Alligator mississippiensis: one gene and its partners. The protein of the gene in region 2 interacts with the protein of the main gene of each other region in a pairwise test. Links are inferred from orthologs where the notes say so. Each region holds a gene or a part of one and is shown on either strand. Other genes may lie near its edges.

Region 1 (7,935 bases), on a different chromosome or scaffold from region 2:
GCCACCGGGAACAAAAAAAACCCTTTCAGTGAGTAGTACTAATTGTCCCCGTGAATTATTTCATATATGAAGCATCTCAGAGGCAGGAATCAAGACTTTCTTTACGACTGAACAGCCCTCAGCATATTGTGTTAATCTGGGATCCTAGTTTTCTCCAATTTAAAAAAAACAAAACAATTTCTAGATTTAAAAAAGCAATCCAAAATCCATATCTTTCTGTGATTAAAAATGAAAACCACTAATATATAGATATCTATAGTGCGGTTTCATTTTAATCACAGAAAAAATGTGGATTTTGGGTTACTTTTTTAAACCACAAATGGGAGATTCTTTTTTTTTAATCAGAGAAAACCAGGAACCCTTATGATTACTACCATAAAAGAAAAGCAGACAGAGAGTATTTCCTCTACAGAAAATGAGGCAAGGTGCATAACAATGACTTATACTTCAAGTTACACTGCAGGAAAACTTACATGGTGGAAGAAGGTGGTACGAATGTAATCCAGGTGTCCCAGCAGGGTGAAAAGGCAGCGGCGTAGCTTATAATTCCAGACCTGGACAACAATAAAACAAAACACTGTGAGAGGCTTGCCAAACTCAGCCCCGATCCTTGCTGACAACTTGTTCTGGACCTGCAAGAAGCCAGCTGCCTCACAGACTATAGTCTCTTTCATTTTACATGACCCGAGTCAAGTGAGAAACAGACCTCATCACTAAGTTTAGCTCCCCGTGATGCCCTCCTGAGCTCAACTTCACCATTTCCATTGTCTTTTGATTTTTTATTATTAGGCTCTAAGCTTGCACGCATGTTTCACACATTTTACAGCTTTCCCATGCTCTACTACACACCCTGACTCTTTGGACAATGGGAAGTAGGAAGGAAGGTTTTACCTTGATTTTGTAGTCATCACCTCCAGAGACAAAGAGAGGTTGCTGTTTGTGGAAATCAATACCACGGACAGGTCCTGCAAGGGGAAATGGGGCATGTGAGACACAGGGATAGAGCTAATAGTTACATCAGCAGTCAGCGCAAGCTATCACTTCACTTGAAGAAGAGTGCAGCTCTATCACTTCCTACTGCGTTTCAATGGATGAAGTAACGCCTCAAAGTGACAGAGCAGCTTCCTAAGACCTCCTCAAAGCAAGTTTTCTTCTCTCTACTGGGCTTTTCTAGCCACATCAATATAATACCTAAGAATCTATTACACGTCCAACAAAGCTATCCTTAAGACACCCCTGTAAAGCAAAGCAGCATTATCTTCATGTTACAGCTCAGGAACAGTGCAAAGAGCAAGTAATTTGCCCAAAGCCAAAGACAGAATATGCAACACAGCTAGAATTAGAAACTAGACCTCTGGAAGCCCAAACCTGGGAATCAAGTAAAAGATCACGCTTCTTCCCCTCACATGCTTGTCATTTTCTGCAAAGTGCCTGCTGCACTTCAGTCTCTTCCTGAAGTGTTATCTCCTACATCCCCCCCTACTCCAGCTCACACACTCACCATCGTGCTCATCAAATTTGTCAATGAGGGTGCACATCCGGTAATCCCACAACTGGATCACACCATTGTGCAAACTTGTTAGGATCCAGGGCCTCTTTGGGTGAAAGCTGAGCCCTAAAACAGACAGACAAAGAAATACATAGGGGTCAAGTTTCCAGTTAAGTGCAAACTCTGGAGACAAAGATAGCAGTGGAAGCAGGGAAGAACCAGTCATCTGGACCTGCCAGGTCTCAAACACAGGATACAAGTGGCTGTTAAACTCCCAAAGAGGAAGCATGCAAACATACCTTGCTGGGAGGTTCATAGGTCATAGCTGCTGAGAGATTTATTGCATCATAGTTCTGATTACAAATGAGTTTCAGCAATAAGAACGAGGAAGCATCAGCTCTCTATGAACATTTGGAAATAAACCTGGCACAGCCCAATTGAGATGCTTAAAAAGCACATCCTCAAGCACCACATAGAACATGATCATCATCAGTGTTAATTTTCAGGCTCTTCTCACCTTGAGATACCCCAAAGGGGCCTCAGGGTGGGTAGAAGTCGTGGAATCACAGACAACGAGGGCTGGGAGGGACCTCAGGAGGTCACATCAAATCCAAGCCCCTGCTCCAAGCAGGACCAGCCCCAACTCCATCATCCCAGCCAAAGCTTTGTCTAGCCAGGTCTTAAAAACCTCCAAGGATGGAAATGCCACCATCTCTCTTCCACCTTCCTAATAAGACAATTTTTCCTAATATCCAACCTAAACCTCCCATGCTGCAAGTTAAGACCATTGCTCCTTGTTCTGTCATTTTCAAAAAAAAAAAAAAGAAAATTCAGGTCCTTCCAAGGGGCCACAATCAGGCACCTAAAAGCTTCACTGAAAACATCAGCTAAGGGCTCCAAGATAAAGGCAGGCTGCTTTACTCCCATGTGCCGCCAATGGCTTTTTTTAAAGCCTCCCAGCGCTGCGGGGACGGATGTGCAGACAGAAAGCAGCAACTGTCACCGGTGGTAAAAGATATCACTGACATCTACCACCCACGAGCTCGTAACACCGGCCTAGAACCAGCAACGAGCTAGGAGTTAACAAACATTAAGAGACACCAGACCCAGGGGTTTCAGGAGACTGGCGCTGCCAGCCAGGCCCCGGGGCTGGACTGATAACACCCCTGATGCCAGCTGAGAGGGGCAGACGCTGGGGCAGATGCAGAGGGCAGAGGCAGAGGCGGGGGCAGGAGGCAGCAGCAGGGGGGGGAAGAGAAACCGGGGTCAGGACTGGGGTGTGGGGGAGCCCACGGGAGGCAAAATAGCGTGTGAGGGGGGGCATGGAAACTGGGATGTAGGTTGGGGGAGGGGGGGGTGCAGGGGATGGACATAGGGAAGAGTGGAGCAGGGCGCTGGGATGGGCCCGATCCTGAGAAGCGCCGTGCTGAGGGAGGGGCCTGGACTTGAGGGGAGGGTGCTGGGATGGGCCCGATCCTGGGGAGGCCCCGTCACCTTTCACCCGGGCCGACTTGGTCTCGAACTTGGTGAGCATCGCGACCCGGCCCCGACGCCCTCCTCGGCCTGGCCTCCACGTCGGCACCGGAACTGCCCCACGCCGCCACTTCCGCTTCCACCCCGGCCCGCCGGAACCATAGAGAGCGAGTCCTCCGGGGCGGAAGGAAGGGGTGGGGGGGTGCGTCGTGCGCAGGCGCACTACCCCCACCCCCTTTTCCCCCGGGCAGGGGCGGAAGCGGAAGTGCCAACCAAGATGGCGGTAGCGGCGGGGCAAGCCGGGGGGCTCCGGCGGGCGGGAGGAGGAGGACCCGGAGCCCCGTGGGGCGGCGGGGCGCTGCTCCGCGGGATCCTGCTCTGTGTGGCGGCCTCGGGTGAGTCTAGCTGAGGTGACCCCCAAGCAAAGCCCTTGGCCGAGGGCGACGGAAAGCCGGGCGGTTCAAACAACGCTGCTTTGCGTGCTGTTTTTCCCTCCCTCCCCCAGAGCACTGGGCTTGGCTCGGACCTCAGGGCAGGACCACGCTCAATACGAGACCGCGTCTTCCCCTCGCTCTCCTGACTCGCAGGTTCCTTGCAGGCGAGCCCAGCTTCAGCTGCGAGACTCGAAACGTTCGTTTCGAGGCCGTTTCAATGCCCTTCGTTTCGTTGCTTCGCTTCGAGCTCCAAACGAAGCAGCCGGCAAAACTTCGCGTAGCCCCGTGCTTCCTCCCGTGCGTTTCCTTCTGCCGGCCGGGGTGGCGCTGCCTGCTTGTAAAGTCGACCGCACGATTTTGGCGGATACAAAGCAAAAGTGGCAGACTAACTGACACGCTTAACGTGGCTCCAAGTGGGTTTTTAGATGCTGTTGCGAAGCATTATAAAGCAGACAGGCAATGCATTGACATTTTAAAGGTATGCCAGAGGCAAGGAGTTTGGGGTTTATCTCTTATTGGACCAACTGCATGGTTGGGATAAAGCTGGACACGCTTTTGAATGCAAGGTGTTCTTCCGATGGTCAAAATGTACAGAAGATGCAAAGGCTTGGTGAAAGGTGGATTCTCGCCGCTCCTGTATCAGGAGGATCATTGGTGATCAGTTTGCAACTCAGCCTGAGACCCAGCTGCAGGGAGTCGGCGGTGAAAGCCTGCCTGGCTGGGAGCAGCTATAAAGGATAACCAGGAAGTGCGGGTGGGGATAGAGAGGGAGTTAAGAGCTCCAGAAGCGAAGAGCAAGAGGGAGGAGGTGGTGGTGCCTGGGGAAAAGTACAGAGCCTGTCTCACTCCTCCCAAGCTCTGAAGGAAGGCTGCAAGTTTGGGGTTTGCCATTTGCATGTTTGCTTGGTTTGTTGATTTTCTTTTTTTTGTGGGGACAAGGCTGCCCCATGTAAAATAAACTGTCTGGAAACCTTGAACATGGTGCTGACTGGCTTTAATAAGGAAGCTGGGTGAGTGACCTGCTTCCAGTCATGATAGTAGAGAGGGAAATGTGGGCATACGAGCAGTGTGACCTTATCTGGAACATCCCACTAAAGTGGGTGGTGCGATAAAAGAAATTGCTCCCCGAAAATCCTTGCCTCTGGATAAAAGAGCTCCTGGCTCCCAATCCTGGCATGGTCCCCTGAAGCATTTTTTAGTGGACCCATCACGGGTGTTGTGTTTCTGACGTGCATTTGCAGTGATCATCACATAGTGCTCTTTGCTGATTTTTTTTATTTTTTTTTTTTTATTCCGTGTGTTCCTAAATAAACCAGTCAATGTACGTTCAGTATTTTTGGGCAGGGACAGAGGTAACAATTGTCAAAGAATGCTAAAAAATAATCTCTCCATCCTGTTCATCTTCAGTTTTGTCCTGCCTTTTCAGGTTCTTGTTGGGGTAATTCTGTGGAGAGGAAAATCTATATTACCTTAAATAAGACTGCCCCATGTGTTCGTCTCTTGAATGCTACTCATCAAATAGGCTGTCAGTGTAAGTATGACCGAGCACTTGTCTTTAGCAGTTCTTCTCCTTTAAGCTGGGAGGATGCAAGATAAGGGAGACGTGTGTACACCTTAAACATATGGGAAACCCTCAGATCCTATGCCTTTTCTGATCAGAGTTGTCCCAGAAGCAGACGCAGTTGAAAGAGTAATATAATGTAACTGTTTGCTTTGAGTTTAATCAGTTGGGCATCTTCCTTTTCCTCTCATGTCTCTAGGCTAGTATTTTAAAGCTAGATAGGTTATAAGCTTAGTTTAGTTTTGACTTTGTGCATGTGTGTGTTTGTGTGCTGTCAAGGTTTGGGGTTTCTTAGGCTGGGAAGAGGAGGAAGACAAATAAGGAACGCTGATTTTGAAGGGTTTCCACATTGTGGTTGGTGAAAGGGCTTCCTGCCAGTTAGCATGTTGCTGATTTGTGGTTGAACATCTTGTTTCCTCAGTAGAAGCTTTGCCCCACAGTGGATCTTGTCTGCTGTGGTTAAAGGATGGAAATGCACATGGTCTAACAAATAAGCTAGCATAGAGGGGTTCTCCAGCTCTTCCAGGCCGTGGGGTGAGCCATGGTTTAATTCAGACTGCCTTCTAGTCTCCTCCCTTCCAATACCCAGGAGGTGTACAGCTTTGAGGGAAATGGATTTCACTGAAACATGGTGATGTTGTGCATGTCTCTCTGCAGCCTCTATTAATGGAGATACAGGAGTGATCCATGTGGTTGAGAAGGAGCAGGACCTGAAGTGGGTGCTTTCAGATGGACCCCATCCTCCATACATGGTCCTGCTAGAAGGGGAGCTCTTCACCAGGTAATGGGCCACTGTCAGTGCTAACAATTATTGACCCTCCTCTCCTCTGAGATGACAAACAGGGGCACTGTAATTTGGTGGCCAAAACTCTGATTAGGACTCCAAGGAGAGATGCCTGTGGCTTTTTCAGTAGCCTCAGGTGGAATTTTAACCCAAGCAGGGTGTTTGAGGGACAGCCTTCCCATGGCTCATTTTATGGGTTGTTGCGCCCTTGCCACCCTCCAGAGAAGGCAGTGCTGAATATCGGTGCCTTGTTTAAAAAAGCATTTGTGCATTTGATGCGAGTTAGTACCTTGCTTGTTTGTCTTAATGGATGGTTTAGTAGTTCGAACAAAACTCAGGAGCCCAGTTCTACATCCATGGCAATTTGTGAACCCTCCTTAGGGTTGCGTTTACAAGCACTGGTAGAGGCTGTGAGGAAGAGCTTTAACGTGTAGTATAGAGCCTTAGCATAGCCTTGGAGGAATTATTTACATCTCAGCCTTTTTGGTAAGGTTTTGTTTTCCACTACAGTTTGAATTTCTATCTCTTTCTTCCTTCAGCACAGGATGTCATTTAAAAAAAATAGTAATGTTTAGGGAAGAAAAGGCCCTTTTCAGGGAGGGAAGCAGCATGTCAGTAACATCAATAACATTTGTCTGTTTTGGCTCTCGTTCCTATTGTCAGATGAATGAAGTCCTTGGCCATCTCTCTTGGACTTGACATTTGAGCTGAGAGATGCAGTGCCCAACCCACTTTCTTGTCCTGTCTGGGTCCGCAACTGGCCAAGTGGCCTGAGTGGGGGTGGGGAAATGACCTTCCCAAGGGGCTTGACACATCATCCAGCTGGGTGTCAGCAGTGCAAACCATGCAAGTGCTACATCACTGATGAGGATGCACGGTCAGCTTCATCTTTCCTTGATTTCACTTGGTGGTACCTGATCCTGGTCTGTGCCTAGGTCATGGTCCTATGCAGTACGTGGGTATTGGCTATCTGGAGTTGTGCTTATTCCCTCTGTTTTCCTGTTTCCTAAAGAGTTCTTCCTGGTGTGAACTGTGAGTGGGTGATGGAGTGGATTGTGTCAGTGGAGTAGGTGAGCTGTGTATTTAGTGTTCCAGTCCACTGCTTAATGATCGTGTAACCTCAGGGAAGTTGCTTTGTGCAGCCATGAGACATTAAAAAGTACAACTCTCAGGAATGCCGCAGGGACTTCATGAATATTTTTATTTATTTTAATTATTTTTCATGAGGGTCTTTGATCCTTTCACTGTCTTCCCCTCTGAGATCGGTAGAGTATGCTGGTCTGTTTTACCCCCATTTCTTTTTTTTTCTTCCAGGGAGCTATTGCAACAGCTGAAGGGAACCTCACGAGTTTCTGGGCTGGCTGTGGCCCTCTCCAGACCGAGTCCTTTACCAGGATTCTCCCCTGGCTTAAAATGCCCCAATGATGGGTTTGGTAAGGAAACATTTCATCCTTATGGTCGCTGGGGAAGGTAGCATTTCCTGGGTGTGTGATCAAAGTGGGAAGGAGCTTGCCAATTGGCGAGTTTGGCATTTGCTGAATGCTCAAGTTAGGATTCGGGCTTGGTGCACGCTCTAGGCATGAGTCGCTTGTGCTGGACTTCTTCAGAATTCAGAAGCACTGGGGTAGGAGACTTCCAGAGGGGCCTGAGAGCTCCAGGAAATAACATCAGTGGTTCTGCAAAGAGATTGTAAGGTTTGGGGGGTGGGGATTGGGTTTTTTCCCCCCTTCTGTCAGAGCTGACTTAGTCTTCCTGCTGTTTGTCTTTTGGATGAGACCTAAAACTCATCCTGACCACTCATGGTCATTAAAAGAACTTGTGACTGTTCCTGCAGAGCTGGCGTGTTAAACCCACATCCCTGGCCAAATTTCAGCATGCTTCACTGCCTCTTTTTATTCCCTCTGCATTTTCAACCATGCACTTGTTTGATTGGTTGTTCACTATTTGTCCTAAACTATTGCCACGTATTGCTAACCCATGCTGTACATCCTACCTTAGAAGTGGCTGCATTTTGCTGGGTGAAGAGATTCCCTCGTTCTGTATAATCTGTACTGTGCTGTGGGGGTGCTCTGTGGTGAAAGGTGCCATGTAAATGCACAGAATTCGTTTTAGTGTGGTATTTTTGCGTTTGTCATACCCTTCACTTTATGGTGCTCATGCAGTGTTAGTGGCTGGCACCTTATAAATGCCTTAG
Region 2 (7,842 bases):
CTGCCCGTGCCCACCCTGCCTCAGCTGGGCAGCACTTGCCCCAGCCCTATTCCCTCCTCACCATGGGGAGCATTGATCTGCCCTCCCACACCCCTTGTCTCCCTCTCCCCTTTCACCACAACATACTTACCTGCTGGACTCAGCTGTATCGGAAATCGGATCAATATGCCTCCTTAAAAATCGGCTATCAGTATCAGCCCCCAAAATGTCTATCAGTGCACCCCTAAATGAGACTACAGGAGGGAAGTACTACAGTTTACGAGTTTTATTATTTAGGTTTACATTGTTTTTGTCTTGTACAACATTGGTACCTAATGTTAATAACACCTTTTCCTTACACCTAGTGTGCTCAATTAATCTTCACCTTCTTCCCTGTTAAGTCTGTGGTGAGTTTTGATTCAGTTCATTGTACTGCAGCCATTAACCCCTCCCCATAATAGTACCTCAAACTAATTCTGGATCTGAAATATTTACTTAAGTAGTAAGCTGTAATACTTACCTGATAAAAAGAAATCAATGGAAAATATTTGCTTTTACAAAACAAAGTTCTAGCAAGAATTATGGAATACTTAAGATCCTAAAACAATTCCCAGAAGAAGCAGGGGAACTTAGTTGCATTATAGGTTGTTTGTTATCTCATTCTATTCTGGTGGGGACAGGGACAAGGAATCTAAACAAGTTGAGTTAGTAAACTGGGATTCAAAGAGAAATGCCGTGATCCTGAGAAATGCCATATGAGCCTTCAGAGAAAATAAGCAGCCTGGAAAAATAAATGAGAATCCTCGCAGTAATGCTGGAGTACTGGGAAAATAATCAGAGCAGGGAAACACTGAACCCTCAGGACTTGAAAATCTACTCGAACAGTTTTTAGACATTTCCCTTTTTTCACTGGTATTCCTTTCTTGTTGAAGTTACTTTTAATACTTAAGTATTTACACTGCAGATGCTTGCGATGGCATCTTATGCCATCTTAAACTTGTACAACTGGAAAATGAATGAATGAATAAACAAAAAACAGTGTCCCATCCAGCTGAGAGGCAATTTTATTCCCCTATTATCATTCAAATCCAAAACTTGGCAATAGTGTTACTCCTAAAGTTCTAATCATTAGCACTAGGATTGAAGCTGAAATCTTGGAAAAAGAAGTTCTAACAGACCGGTTATATTAAAAGGTTATATTAAAGTCTGATTTAAAAAACCAGTCTGATGAAACACTCTATCATTGTTTTCTACTAACTACTCTTGAACTTATAACCTCATTTTGTAAGTTATGCTTTACTTCAGTGCATCCAGTAAATTATAACATATTTTAATAATGGCAGGATTTTGCATACTTTATTATGGAGCAATTTTATTACACTTTTATGCCTTTAAAAAATTAGTTGAAGTATCAAAAATAAATTACTGCAGCCTGCAGTGCACATCAGCCAATCAGTTATGTAAAATCACTGTTTTTTTCTTTTTCTTCTTTTTGGTTTAAGTATAACCAATGTATAATGGGGTGTCTCAGTTAGTCTGGTGACTTTTCAAGAGGAGCTGCCATATAAGGGAAATATAGTCTGCAACAGTAAATATGTTCCAGCTAGTTTAATACTGTACGGGAACTAATTTGTGAAGACCAAGTGTGCAATCGAAAATTTTAAAACAACAGCCAGTTTCACATTGTGCTTTTTGACATGCCTGTTCGTTTTTAATGTGAGAAATACCTGTAACAAATAATAGGCGAATAGTTTGTATATTAACATTTCTCAAATCCTTTGTCAGTCGCTCAAGGTCTTCCTTCTTAGTTCTCAGAACTTGTTCATCCCTTATATTAATTTTCTGTGCTTTTGGTTTTAAAACATTAAGGGTCTCTGGCAGGAATTCACAAACTAGGCTGATTTCATGCCACTGCAAATTCCTTCCTTCCTCCTTCAGCTGTTTTCTTCTTTGTTAAACATCCTTCTCTCACCTTCCCCTACTGAACCCATGTGCACTATCAGCAGCTGCTTTGAAACTTGCTTTAGACTTCTTTTTAAATCTTCTCCCTTCTTTGGACAGGACTTGCTGTAGGAAAAAGAACTCCTCAGCTAAGGAAAAGCATTCAAAAAGCTTGAGCCTGAATGGATTCAATCTTTTCAGGTCAGGCTAACTTGGCTAGACTTAACCAGTTAGTAACGGGAAAGACATCCCTTCTGGACTGAAAAAATGCAGGCGCATGCCTACAGTGGCTCAAGTTGGGTGGGGCTACAGCATCCCTCCCTTCCCTTCCCTGGCAGGATGCTCTAATTTGGGAGAGCTGGAGGGAGGAGTTCTTCCCCTCCCCACCTTGCTGCTCCTGACAAGCAAGGGAGTCAGCAGGGAGTTACACAGCATTTATCAGCCCAACAAGAAAACAAAAGCTTCTCTCATCAGTTGAAGCTCTTCTTAAACAACTTTTTCCAAGGAAGGAATGGAGTACCTGCTGACCTGTTAATTAGCTCCAGAAAGCCCTAAGTGGACTCTGTCCTGTTCGCCTTTGTCCTATCTGCCTTACACAGACACCTCTCAGCATTACCTAGCTGACCCCATGCTGGTTATGGTCCGTGCTGTGGGAGAGAGGAGGGGGGAATCCCTGCTTGAGCAGGGAGTGGTGGTGGGAGGAAGGGGCACAGGGAAGCCAGGCAGCTGTGCCTGTTGTTTCTGCTGGAGCTCCAGCCACGGAGTAGAGGGGAGAGGCCAGCCCTGCTCTGGAGCAGAGAGCCCCGCCCAGAGCTGCAGCAGGGGTGTGGCAGCAGTGAACAGGGACCTCCTGCAGGTGGCTGCAGCAATGTTGGCAGCGGGGCATGGGGTGGTGAGCACTGACAAGTGGTTGACGACCACCCACAGACACCGCTGGTGGTGTTGGTGGCGAGGGGGGAGGGTAGTAAGTGGCGACTGCCCGCAGGCACCACCGACACCGGCCAGTCTCAAGGGGTGCATCGCTAATATCAGGGGATGCATGTGCACCCCCTACACATCACCAATGCCTAAATAAATTAATTCTGGTACTACATTCAACCAGGTTTATCTCAAACCAGTTTCAGCCATTTTCAAACTCGTTTATGTGCATTGAGTGTCTGTTCTGTTACAGGTTTAAACCAGTTTCTGATCATTTAAACCAGTTTATGTGTAATGTCTGTTCCTGACCCTCCACTATAACTTCTCTTCTCCCCATGTTTTTTAAAACTCCTGCTTTCACCACCCCGATCTTTTTTTTTGCTGGCTCTTCTCTCCTTCCACCTGCCCCAAAGCCCTACAATAATAATAGCCTCAACTGTTTAAGATGCATGAGTCAGACTCCAGGTATCATGAAATTGGCTGCAAAGTCCCAGAGTTTAGGGTGTGCTCAGATCATGGTCTCTATAGCTTGTCTATGATGAAGGTCTTGATCGAGGGTCTCATTACACATGATCTTGTTACACCCTCGATACAACCATGATCAAGGGTCTTGTTACACATTTCACTTTGATCTGCTCAAATGTCAACCGGGATTAGGGCCTTGTTACACCTTACACCATAAGCCACACAAATGTTGATCAGTGTTAATGCTAGCTTGTGTTTGGAGCGGTCACATTAAAAACCTTCTCTGACATCCCCAGCGGCAGTGCTGTGACTTGCCACTAGAGGGCTGGCAAGCAGGGGTCTAACTAGGTGCTATAGCTGCAAGTTGCCTCTACGAAGGGGCTCCCAACCTTTTTAGATTGAAGACTGAAACCGCAGACCAGAAGTGGCTACTGACTTGGAAACCACGAACTAGCAGACAACGTTTTTTATACTCAGTATAAAAAAGGGTTGGCTACTGGTCCGCCGTATGCCAGTCACTTCCAGTCCACAGTTTGCTGGTTCACGGTCACTTCCGGTGACACCGCGTGGGGCCCTGTGGCTGGAACAGCAGTCAAGACACTTCCACCTGGCGGGCGGGCGGGAGGAACCAAACCTCAACTGTGGCAGCCACCACCACAGGATAGGATGGGCTGGCCCTCCTGTGGACAGGCAGCCAACCGTTCGCGGCCCTACACCGCCACAGCCCAGGGGTTGGGAAGTCCTGCTTTATGGGGCTGGTGAGCCAGGACAGGCTTGTATCCCTGCTTGGGGGTGAGGGCAGGATGGGATATGAAGCTGGGAGGTGGACAGGAAATGGGTGAGGGAAGGGTGGCGAAATGACTCAAGTCAGTCGCTGAAGGATAACATAAAAAGTTAAAAAGGAAGGAATTTAAAAAGAAATGAAGAAGTAAATTAAAGAAGGTCCCATGTTTTAATAAACGGGGATTTGTTGGTCGTGCTTTCCAGGGTGGCCGGGCGGTGGGAGGCAGCCCCAGCGCACGGGGCCGGCGAGGGAGCGGGCTGGTGCCAGGACCGCCCCCGGGCAGCAGAGCTCTGCGGTAGGAAGTTTGTCCACACAGGGGCGCGGGGGAGGACACTGCAACCTGGGACGCTGGAGGACTGCAACTTAGGCGAGTCTGTGAGGCGCAGGCGCACGCTAGGCCTGAGCTGGGTCAGGCGGAGCGGAGACCAACCTGCCCGGCAGGAGCAGCAGAGCTGCGAGCCGCCTGATGTGCACTGGAATCTCGCTCAGGCGCGGCCGTGGGAGCGCGTCCGGAGCCGCCCAAAATAACGTACGCCAGGACCCCCGCGACCCTGAGCTACCTGCCGGCAGCCCTGGGAACTACAAGTCCCAGCAGCCCCCGCGGTGGCACAGCGCCTTGCGGCACGAACGGCCGGTGCTCCCCGTCGTGCCTCGCTCCCGGCGCGCCTCGATCTCGCGGCCTTTGGGGCCGGGAGCGGCTAAGTCCGATGTTCTCGGCGGTCTCTCGCGTCTCGCGAGAGCAGAGGTGGCGGAAGCTCCACGTCGCTGTGTCGGGAGCAGGGAGCAACACCTTGGCGTCCCCGCGGCGTCCCCGGAGCCATGGTGAGGCCAGGCCGGGCCGGGAGTGGGTTGGGGGGCTCTCGCTCCGTGCTGCACAGGCTGACGCTTGTAAAGGGGCCGGGGGCCGACGAGCGCCCTCTTGCCAACCCTGGCCTGCTGCGTCGTTCCCCGCCCGAGGAGGCTCCCTGACTCCCTGCACGGGCTGCGCTTGCTGGTGCTGCCCTGACGGGGACCTGGGGGCCGCGACAGCAGCACACAAGTCCCTGGCAGCTGTCCAGTGGCTGCCCCTGTCACCCAGTAGCTGGCAGCTGCGAGACCATCTCAACCAGAAGCTGCTTTCCCAGGATGAGTCATTTGGGGCCGTGATGGCACTAATACAGGCGTCCCCAAAACCTTCAAGCAGTAAATGTGCACAGCCGTCTCTTCCACTGTGTTTTAAGACAACTGTGCTCAATTTTTTGACCTCACAGGCTGGATTGGGCTCCGTGCGCCAGGCTCAGGCCCTACGCTTCCTCTGCCAGCCCCGTGCTGGGATTGTGGTGCAGTGTTCACTGGTCTTGCATGCTAGGATCAGGGCCTGCATGCCAGGGGGGACCCTGGGGCCTTGCGCTGCCCCCGCCCAGCCCTGTGCAGTGGGATTGGGCCCTGGTGTGCCACACCGTGCACACTGGAATTCGGCCCCGCACTGCACAGGGCTCTGATATCTGGCTCGCAGGTCTGGAAATTTGACAGCAGGGGTGCCGCACCTTTGCTCTCTGGCTGCTAAATTGTCAGCCTTGGGGAGCTCCACAGGCCAGGTAACATGATGCCAGGGGCCAGATTTGGCCTACAGGCTGGGAGTTGAAAGTGAAAAATTAAAAGCCTTCAGCCAGCTCACTGAGTTACAAGTTCTGTGTGTATCTGAGAGAGTCTTCAGGTTATATATGCTATAACTGTGTGTCAGCTACTTATATTTTAAAAGGAAAGAAATAATGTTTACCGGATTTCAGAAATATAATAAGTCTAATATTTGCTAATGCCAGCTTTAGTGTTCTCATTTTGCTTTTCAGTTTGAAGCTAGTCAAATGCTTACATTGCATTATTTCACCCATTTGGGAGGATAATCTTTCACCAGAGAACTTGTTAAATCAAGCAATTCTAGGTCAACCCATTTTGTATGTACTATTGAGAATTAAGTTTGCTCTTTTTAGAATATTCCATTCTGTGGCATATACTAGATGCTCCAGGGAAAAAAATACCTTGGTATAGCATACCCATAAAATGTCAGGTAACTTAGTTTCAGATTGCCAACACTCCTAAATAAAGAGGTCAAGATCAGTTTTGTTTCATCTGGCTTGGCAGCTGATAATGGACAAGTGTTTTTGCATCATACACAATTGCCATATTTTGTGGTAACTGACATTCTCCCTTGAGTTCTCAGCAGAAGCCCCAAGAGAGGAAAAGATATTAAGATCTACTGACTTTTTTGTCTTGGAAGCGTTTATTTAGCCAGCCAGTAGAAGTTTAAGCAGGGCTGGGTAATTATTTGGGCTGGACACTTAAGGAGCTTTGATGAGCTGTTGAGGGCTGGGGGGTTGTGGGGAGGAAGTGTTGAACTGGCCTCAACCTGTCCCATCATGGCTGTTTATACCACCCTGCATGCCAGGGGAGGAAGGAGAGAGGCATGGAGATGCCAGTTGGTCCTATCCAACCCCAGGCCTGTTTGTCCCACACCCTCCAGCAGGAGTGCCAGGTGAGCAGGTTCTCCTGGGTGACTGGCACGCTGCTCCCTGCCCAATCATGGCGCCATCCCACCCGCCTGGCTGAGAGTGCCTGCCTGTGGGGTCCTGGGCTGGTCTCCATGGAGACCCTGCCCATCCGCCTGCTCCATCTGGTGCCCCTGGCAATAGGTGCAGGGCAGGCAGGCTGGGGTGCCTGGGCAGCAGGGCCAGTTCTGGTGGCAAATGCTGGCAGTGGCAACCAGAAGAAACCAGTGCTGCTGGGTCTGTCAGGAAGCTGGTGTCAGCCATGCCACCCTTGCCCAGCCCTGCAGACTACAGCTCCTGGAATACCCAAGAGCTGCGCGTAGGGATAGGGTGGGCTGTGCTTTGCACCAGATAGGATCTCTGCATCCGGGGACAGCAGGATTGGTTTTACACACCATGACCTGCATTGGATAGAATCAGTTGGCAGGCTAGGTCTGGCCCATGGGCCATATTTTACCCACTCTGGGGCTTAAGGCTACATGGGGCAGAGTATTATGAGGTTATGCATGGTTTTGTTTTTTTAATGTTATTGTTCAAGTAGGTGAGAGGAGAAATACACATCCTTTGCGCTCCTTTGGGACTCACTGAGGTCAGTGGTAGTGTTGCATTCAAAATCAGTGCCTGTATGTTTCAAAACATCTCTTATCAGAGCAAGAAGATAAGAGAAAAGCCATAATGTGTATATACCTGGAAAAGCAGAATCAGATAGGTATATTTTTGGCCTGTCATTTATTTGGTTGGGTTACAAATATGTTAAGATTTTCAGTGCCAGTTTTACACTGAATAACCTAGGGTTCTTAATTTTATAGCCTCTCCGACTTGATATTAAGCGAAAACTAACAGCTCGGTCTGACCGAGTGAAGAGTGTAGACTTGCATCCCACAGAGCCATGGATGTTAGCTAGTCTTTACAATGGAAGCGTCTGTGTTTGGAATCATGAAACACAGGTAAAATTTCTGTTTTCCACTTTTTATTTGAGCAATGTTAATATATAATAATGCTTTGATACCCATATGCTGCTTACAGTGATGAATGAAATACATTCCACTGTAACAGATGTGAGGAAATTTAATTTATTAATAAAGGATTCATTGCTTTTTTATCTTAAAAAAATATTGCTCTCTTTACAAAGGGCCTGTTAACTATCTTTATCTTGCTGGATGGAAAAGGGCATAGAAACTAGAGGTACACCGATACTAGAGGCTGCGCTTAGAGTGGGCGGTGGTGGGT
Region 3 (7,734 bases), on a different chromosome or scaffold from region 2:
GCAAATTAATTCTAGAGTGAAAACACTAAAGTTACACTTAAAAAAAAAGTTTTAAACACTCATGTCATCTTTAAAAAATTGCAATTTACTTATGACCATTTTTAGTAATAGTAGGTTGGAGTGCTATTGTAGCCACGATGACACAGGAAATATGGAAGCAACAGGTGTTTTGGTGATCTCGTTTATTGGACCAATGGTATACATTGTAGTTGGTCACAGAATGACCTGTGAAAGGGCACTTCGGGCCCAATAGCTTCTCTAACATTTCTCCCATTGGTCCAATAACAGGTCACCAAAAAAGGCCAACTGCTTTCACATTTTCAGAAATGACAATTCAGTCACCTCGCCAGTTGTATGAACCCTCCATCCCAAGTCACCACCATAGACCATGCTTTAAGTTTCTGCATCTAACTTCTTCATCTCTAATATGGAGATGTACAAGAAGAGACCAGAGTAGATATATCTTAAGTTTTATTAACTTATCTTGGATTTCAACTAGTTTCCTCCCACCATTTTTACAGGCAAAGGTCCACAGAACCTAGTAATCCTGGGCACAGTGTTTCCAAGTTATACAGGGCACCAAAAAGCACTCCCTTAACAGATCACACCTGGGACACAGAATTGGAGAGGAAGCAGTAAATGGCTTCCCTCACCAAGAGTGAGATGTGAAAGACTCTGAACCAGAGTATGCTCCCAGTCAAAGCCCTTTCTTGACCAGACTCCCTAAGAGATGGCAAGAACTAATGCACTTCCCCAAAGAACAAAATCTTTATACTGTTTTCTGTTTCATAATCTTCAATTTCTACATGGGAAGGCAAGGAAATGGTAAGAGGAGAAGGCTGAAACTATCTGTTGTTTGCTCCAGCAAAGGCATTCTTTCCAAGGGAGGCAGTCTGCCTGGCCCTCCACTAGGCCAATCCTATCATGTATTAACTTAAATAAAATGTCCAAGATGTTGATTTTAATAAGTGCTTGAAACTAGTCACATCAAACCATGCTCCTTTAAAAACAATCCCAAAGTTAACCTGCAGCAAGCATTACTCCAAGAGGTCCTGGACTCCATTTGCTACTAACTTTCAGAACTATGTACAGAACCATCAGAACCTGCTATGCAACTATTTGGTGGTGAAGAGACATGTGAAAAAGGGACCTTCTTTGGTTACTTCCGCTTGGAACTTAAGGTTCTGAACTGCATTAGGTGTGAACAGCTTCCCAAATCTGCAACAGAAGCATATGTCATTCATCTGCATTACCCCATGCCCCGAGGAGCTCAACTCTTAGGCCGTGTCCAGACGTGTGTTTCCCCAAGGACAAGTAGCAGTGGCACAGCTTGTGCTGTGGCTACTTGTCCCTGAGGAACGCCCATGCCATGCATGCTCTGGTGTGCAGTAGGTTATCCTAGATGAAGTAGAAGAGGCTGGGGCCAGCAACTATCCTGGCCCCAGCAGCCCTACCTGGGGTCATCAAGGATCTCCGACCGCAGCACTTCTGCAGCAGGGAGCTTGGCCAGTAACCCGTGTGGCTCCAGCTGATCAGGTTTTGGGCGGCACACACTGCTGTCACATGTACCACCCTGCTTTTTTTTGGCGTGGGTTCTTTTGACCCCAGGATCTCCTGGGGTCAAACAAAACCCACCACACTGCAAGGCAGGAGTCCAGGGAATACCTAAACATGCGGTGTGTGATGCCACAGATGCGTGCCACATACCACATTTCTGCTGGATGCACCTTAAACTTTACAACTTTTGAAACTGGAAGTACAGTGCTCACATTGACGAGAAGCTTCATGTGTTCTGCAAGCAGCGTTCATAATTTGTGTGGCCTTTAAAACGGTCTTGCTGCTGGTTCCAATCCTTAAATCTCCGAGAGTCACGCAAGCCTTAGGGCACCCTCCACTAGTTTTGATAAGATCCTTTGTTACCATCTTTCCGAGTTACCACTACTATTTGAACTACGCTCCTACCATTTAACAAAACCATTTCCTTACAGTTTCTACTGTTAACGGTGAATGGGCAACAATTCTTCTTCCTTTACCTGGCTTCAAAACTGAAAACAAGTCCCCTGCATAGATGGGGAACTCTTTAATTTTACACATGCCTGTCACTACACAACTATATCACACGTCCAAAAATGTTACCCCCAGAACTACAGAGCTGCACCACCAGGTGGAAGACACAAAATAAACATCCTTCGTCACAGGACACACAACTCATTATAAAGTTTGTGTTGATACCAGTTTAAACAAAGCAAAAAAGCAAAAAACACCCCTTTTCTCCACCCCTTTCATGAGCTGTTGCCAAGAATCATTTTCCCAACTATTCAGGTGGTCTAACAAGAGATATCGCATCTACCCGAAGATACTCGACTGTTCTACAATTCAGCCCCTTGCTAAGTGACAATACGTTTATGAAAACGTACAACCCCCGGGGTCAATCTGTGGAAAAAATCAAATCACTGTGGCTCAAACCCTGCATCGGCGTTTCCCAAACTCTTTCGCCCCCTTGAGCTCCCCGGCTCTTTGTTGCCGACAGAAAATTAACACAGCGGTGTTCCCGTTGCAAAGCAGCCCCGCAGGCCGCGGCGGGTCGGGCGTGCCTGCAGGCCGCGGCTCTGACGGGACACCTCGGCTGTCTCCCGTTTGCCCCCACAGTCCCCAGGGGACCCAGGCGGCCGAGATCACCCCTGCCCCGGCCGCCCCACGCGGCGGCCGCTGTGGCCCGGCCCGGCCCGGCCCGGTCCCTGCGGCGCGGTACCTACCTCCCGCGGCGGGACTCCGGCCCGGCCCCGCTGCCCGCTCCGGCTGACGTGGAACGGCCTTCCCCGGGCGGGCCACATCGAGCCTACGGCGGCCCTCACAGGACACGCCTCCTCCGAGCGGCGCACAGAACGGCTCCGCCTCGCACACGGGGAGGGAGTGAGAAAGAGAGAAGAAGGGAGGGGTGGGGGAGGATGCATACGCCTTGCGGGTGGGGAAAGAGGGAGTGAGAACATAACGCATGCACTCTGTACATTCGTTCTGAGCCCCACAGACGCTGCGGGGGGAAAGGGAGAAGAGGGAGCACGGCGCGTGCGCTCTGCGTGTTGAAAAAGCGCGTCTCCTGTCGGCTCAAGGTTCCGCGCATATACGTCTTTGCTCGGAGCCGCCTCGCGTGGGGTGGGAGGGGGAGCGCGGGGCCCGGCGGCTCAGGCCCTGCGCCCCACCCCCCACCGCGGCTCCTGCGTGGTGGCTGCTGGGGAGAGAGCTCTGCCTCTGGAAGGACACTCGGGGCACATGCGGGGTGGCTCCATGAGGCTGGAAAGAGGGCAGGGAAGCAGGCAGCCGGGGGCTGTAGGGGCAGCTTGGGAGAGGCAGGGATGTGTGAGAGCGCTCCCTTGTATTGAGGAGAGGCTGAGGGAGCCGGGCTCATTTAGTCTGCAGAAGAGGAGACTGAGGGGGGATTTAATAGCAGCCTTCAGCTACCTGAAGGGTGGTTCCAAAGAGGAGGGAGCTGGACTGTTTTTAGTGGTGGGCGATGACAGAACAAGGAGCAATGGTCTCCAGTTGCAACAAGGGAAGTCTAGGTTACATATTAGGAAGAATTTTCTCAGGAGGAGGGTAGTAAAACACTGGACCAGGTTACCCAGAGAGCTGGTGGAAGCTCCATCCTTGGAGGTTGCTAAGACCTGGCTAGACAAAGCCTTGGGTGGGATGATCTAATCCGGGGATGTCCTGCTTGGAGCAGAGGCTTGGACTATCACTGGTTCTCAACCTTTTTTGAACCAGGACTCATAGATGGCCAGTCCCGGCCCAGTGCCCCTCACTTGCAACCCACTGCCCCCAGCCCCACAGTGTGTGGGGCATGGGAGGACCAACGCTGAGCGGCAGGCCGGAACGCTGCCAGTCTGCAAGGGAAAAGCCACAGTTTCCCACATTTTTCTCCCTTAAAAGAGAATCCATGTTTAAAGTTCAAGCCCCAACAGTGTCATTGCTGAGCTGCTGGCACAGCTCTTTGAGCTCTCATAGTGCTCCAGACAGGTCCCTGAGGACTGGAAAAAGGCCAACGTGGTGCCCATTTGTAAGAAGGGGAGAAGGGAGGAGCTGGGTAACTTTAGGCCTGTCAGTCTTACCTCTATCCTTGGGGAAAATACTAGAAAAAATCATCAAAGAGCATATTTGTGAAAGCCCAGCAGGAGAAACAATGCTGAAAGGAAACCAGCATGGGTTCATCACAGGTAGATCCTGCCTGATGAACCTTATAGCCTTTTATAACCAGGTCACATGCTACCTTGACACAGGAGCAGAGGCCGATGTCATCTACCTGGACTTTAGGAAGGCCTTTGACACAGTGTCGCATCCTGTTCTTATAGGGAAGCTAACGGGTTGTGGAGTGGATGCCTACACAGTCAGATGGGTGGCCAACTGGTTTAGGGACTGCACCCAAAGAGTGGTGGTCGACAGGTCATTTAAACCTGGAAGGAGGTGGGTAGTGGGGTCCCACAGGGTTCAGTCCTTGGGCCAGTATTATTTAATATCTTCACCAGTGATTTGGATGAGAGCGTGTTGAGCACCCTTTCCGAGTTCACAGATGATACCAAATTGTGTGGTAAAGTTAATACACCGGAGGGCAGGGAGCAGATACAGGCTGACCTGGACAGTTTAGTTCAATGGGCTGAACGTAATAGGATGCAATTCAACAAAGATAAATGTAAGGTACTCCACCTAGGAAGGAGGAATCCCCAGCACACCTACAGGTTGGGGGATGTCCTCCTTAGCAGCTCAGAGGCTGATAGAGGTCTTGGAGTCATAGTTGAACATAAGATGAACATAAGCTGGCAGTGCAATGAGGTCATCAACAAAGCCAGTCGCACCTTGTTGTGTATTAGCAGATGCATGACCAACAGATAGAGGGAGGTTATGCTTCCCCTCTATGCAGCATTAGTCAGGCTGCAGTTGGAGTACTGTGTCCAGTTTTGGGCACCACACTTCAAGAAGGATACGGAGGATCTGGAAAGGGTTCAGAGGAGGGCCACCCGCATGATTAATGGTCTCTGTGAAAGACCCTACGAGGAGAGGTTGAGAGAGATGGATCTCTTCAGCCTATACAAAAGACAGCTGAGGGGTGACCTTGTGGCTGCCTATAAATTTATCAGGGGAAGACAGGGAATTGGGGATGCGCTGTTTACCAGAGCGCCCCAATGGGTGCAAACTAGTGGAGAGTAGATTTAGGTTAGACATTAGGAAGACATTTTTTACAATAAGGGTGGCCGGAGTCTGGAATGGGCTTCCAAGAGAGGTGGTGCTGTCACCTAACTTGGAGGGCTTCAAGAGGAGGCTTGACAATCACCTGGCTGGGGTTGTCTGACCTTGGTCCTCTTTCCTGCCAGGGGTAGGGGGCCGGACACAATGATCCATTGGGTCCCTTCCAACTCTAGAATCTATGAAAGTTTGTTGATCTATTTTCATAGTTTGTATGCAAGCCTTTCATATATTCTTGTGACCCACGGCTTGAGAAACACTAGACTAGATGATCCCGAGGTCCCTTCCAACCCTCATTTTCTATGCTTGGCCCAGTCATGTAGTTCAGTAGCATGTGCGTGTCCTGATTTTAATTGTGTTTGTAACCATAAGCATTTTAAAAAGGTTTTTATAGGTAACCTGCAGTTCACATCTGCCCCAGGCAGCTTCCCACCAAGTGTGATGATAGTGAATTTGACTCTTGGGCTCTGGCCACACAGGCATGGCAGGTATGATTGTGGGATCCAGAATCAGACCCTTTCATGCTTTTTTGCAGGTGCAGCAGGTATCTCAGGCTCCTCCTGCTCTGGCAAGTAGCTAGTTCCTGTGCTGGTAGCAGCTGATGGGGCTCCCAGCTATAGGAGCGCATCATGCACTGGGTTGTGAGCTGTCAGCTGATCCCAGCTCCCAGCCACGGGGTTGCATCATGTACTCCTGGGGTTGTGAGCTGTCAGTTGATCTGGGCACCCCACTGTGGAGGCACACCACCAGTTTTTACATTTTTTATGTAGAAACTTTGTGGTTTATTCCTTGTTTCATCACACCATTAATTGCATTAAAGTGGGTAACAACTTGAGATGTGATTAACTGGTCAGTCACATTTCAAGCATATTGTATGCCATGGGCCTTAGGATGTGTTTTAGGATGGGAAACTGCCTGGAATAATCATCAATCAATGTAAGCTGAATTGTGTATTTCTCACTCCTTTTCTGAGTTTTAAAAGTAGTTTCACTGTTCCTCGTTGCTACAAAAGCAACAGGGCACAAAAGAGATGTTTAACTTGGTACATGCTTTCAGACATTCTGACATTGGAAACTATCTTCTGTATGGGGACAGGTTAACAGGGTGATGGTATTGTGCATTGTGCCCACCTGTGATCTACAGCGCTACCTGCTAGAATGCCTGGAGGCCTGCTGACCGTCTGGGTAATCCAGCACAGTTGCTTCTCAAGGCTTTCAGTTTGTGTTGGGTGTGGGGGTGCCCACTCTAAAAACGTGAAGACTCTTCACCATGCCGCACCATTTGGAGTCAGCGTCTTGCTTCTTACGCTAACATCACTGTGAAGTTGCAGTTGTGATGGCCCAGGAACTGTGCAAGAAGCAAGCATTCCTAAGGGGTGGTATCTTTTATTGGCCCAACTGCTTGGTTGAGAGAGCTTTGGACAAGCTTCCCAATGCCAGTCATTCTTCCTTCACACTATCCCAAAATTGTTGCCTTTTTTAAATTGTGCAGTATTCTGCAACCAATAGAGCATATCCACTGAATTATTTCTTTGGGGTGACTGAGACAGATTTTGTCCCACTCCTAGTTCAACTCTACTCTTTAGTCAGTGCAACATACATAGCACACAGAACTGAAGAGCTGTCACGTGGCACCACATTGCTTGAATCCCAGGTTGCTTCAAGAGAGTCCTCTGGTCAGAGAGGTTTCATTTTGAGTTGTCTGAGGCAGATTTTGTCTCGGTTCCAACCCAACTCAGCTCCTTATTCAGTGCAATACACAGCACAAAGGCCTGAGGAGCTGTCAGGTGATGCCACATCACTTGCAAATCCAGCTTTGGGTCAGGCAGCATGCTATCCAAGCGTCTTCAGGAGATATCCCCACCATGGGAGAGGTGTTTGTGGTGACTCGACAGGTTTTGCCCCACAACCCCAGCCCAACTCATCTTATTCTACACAATGTATATAGGACAGGTGTGGAGAGCTTTCATATGGCACTATGTTGCAAAAATCAAGCTTCAGGTCTAGCAGCCCCTTTACTCATTTTTCTTCAGGGCTGCCCCTTGATTGTAGTGATTTGTTATACTGTGTCCCATTACATGTGTATGTAGTGAATTTAACTTTTAATTTCTATGGATGATGACTGGAGTACTTGATAAATTAGATTTTTATTAGCAAATGCATGTATTTGGTGAACTATAGAACCCTTTATCTTATCTCATTCATTGCCAACAAATTCAAAATTGTTGAAAGCAAAACACTGAAAAAGGAACTGGGATTTGTAAATAAGGAACCACAAACCAGGAACCAACTTTGGTACTCCACTTTCTGTTTTCACCATTCTCCAATTCAGTTTGGTTCCAATTCTTTTTGATTGCCCATTTGTTGGATTTGGGGTGTGCGGGGCAGACTAGAAAACATTTAATATTCTTTTGTAGCAGATCACCTCAAAACACTTATTTCCTTCTTCATAAATATCCAGCTTTCACAAATCCTAAAGTTTGCAAAGATCAATTTTTCC

Evidence for each region.
Region 1: the proteins of COPB2 (region 2) and COPA interact in a two-hybrid assay, tested with the Homo sapiens proteins (2 studies listed by BioGRID, with this or other methods). The link is inferred for Alligator mississippiensis from reciprocal best matches to the Homo sapiens genes COPB2 and COPA.
Region 3: the proteins of COPB2 (region 2) and COPB1 interact in a two-hybrid assay, tested with the Homo sapiens proteins (2 studies listed by BioGRID, with this or other methods). The link is inferred for Alligator mississippiensis from reciprocal best matches to the Homo sapiens genes COPB2 and COPB1.

The regions. Positions count from the first base shown.
Region 1 is NC_081838.1:15,764,669-15,772,603, forward strand, and holds the start of COPA (coatomer subunit alpha), read right to left. Parts: upstream 3,092-7,935; 5' UTR 3,024-3,091; coding exon 2,984-3,023; intron 1,616-2,983; coding exon 1,502-1,615; intron 966-1,501; coding exon 892-965; intron 555-891; coding exon 474-554; intron 1-473. Other genes in the region: NCSTN (nicastrin), read left to right, coding at 3,240-3,357, 4,823-4,927, 5,615-5,738, 7,056-7,174. UniProt on the Homo sapiens protein: The coatomer is a cytosolic protein complex that binds to dilysine motifs and reversibly associates with Golgi non-clathrin-coated vesicles, which further mediate biosynthetic protein transport from the ER, via the Golgi up to the trans Golgi network.
Region 2 is NC_081830.1:45,473,478-45,481,319, reverse strand, and holds the start of COPB2 (coatomer subunit beta'), read left to right. Parts: upstream 1-4,799; 5' UTR 4,800-4,906; coding exon 4,907-4,909; intron 4,910-7,421; coding exon 7,422-7,559; intron 7,560-7,842. UniProt on the Homo sapiens protein: The coatomer is a cytosolic protein complex that binds to dilysine motifs and reversibly associates with Golgi non-clathrin-coated vesicles, which further mediate biosynthetic protein transport from the ER, via the Golgi up to the trans Golgi network.
Region 3 is NC_081825.1:195,519,970-195,527,703, reverse strand, and holds the start of COPB1 (coatomer subunit beta), read right to left. Parts: upstream 3,033-7,734; 5' UTR 2,757-3,032; intron 1-2,756. UniProt on the Homo sapiens protein: The coatomer is a cytosolic protein complex that binds to dilysine motifs and reversibly associates with Golgi non-clathrin-coated vesicles, which further mediate biosynthetic protein transport from the ER, via the Golgi up to the trans Golgi network.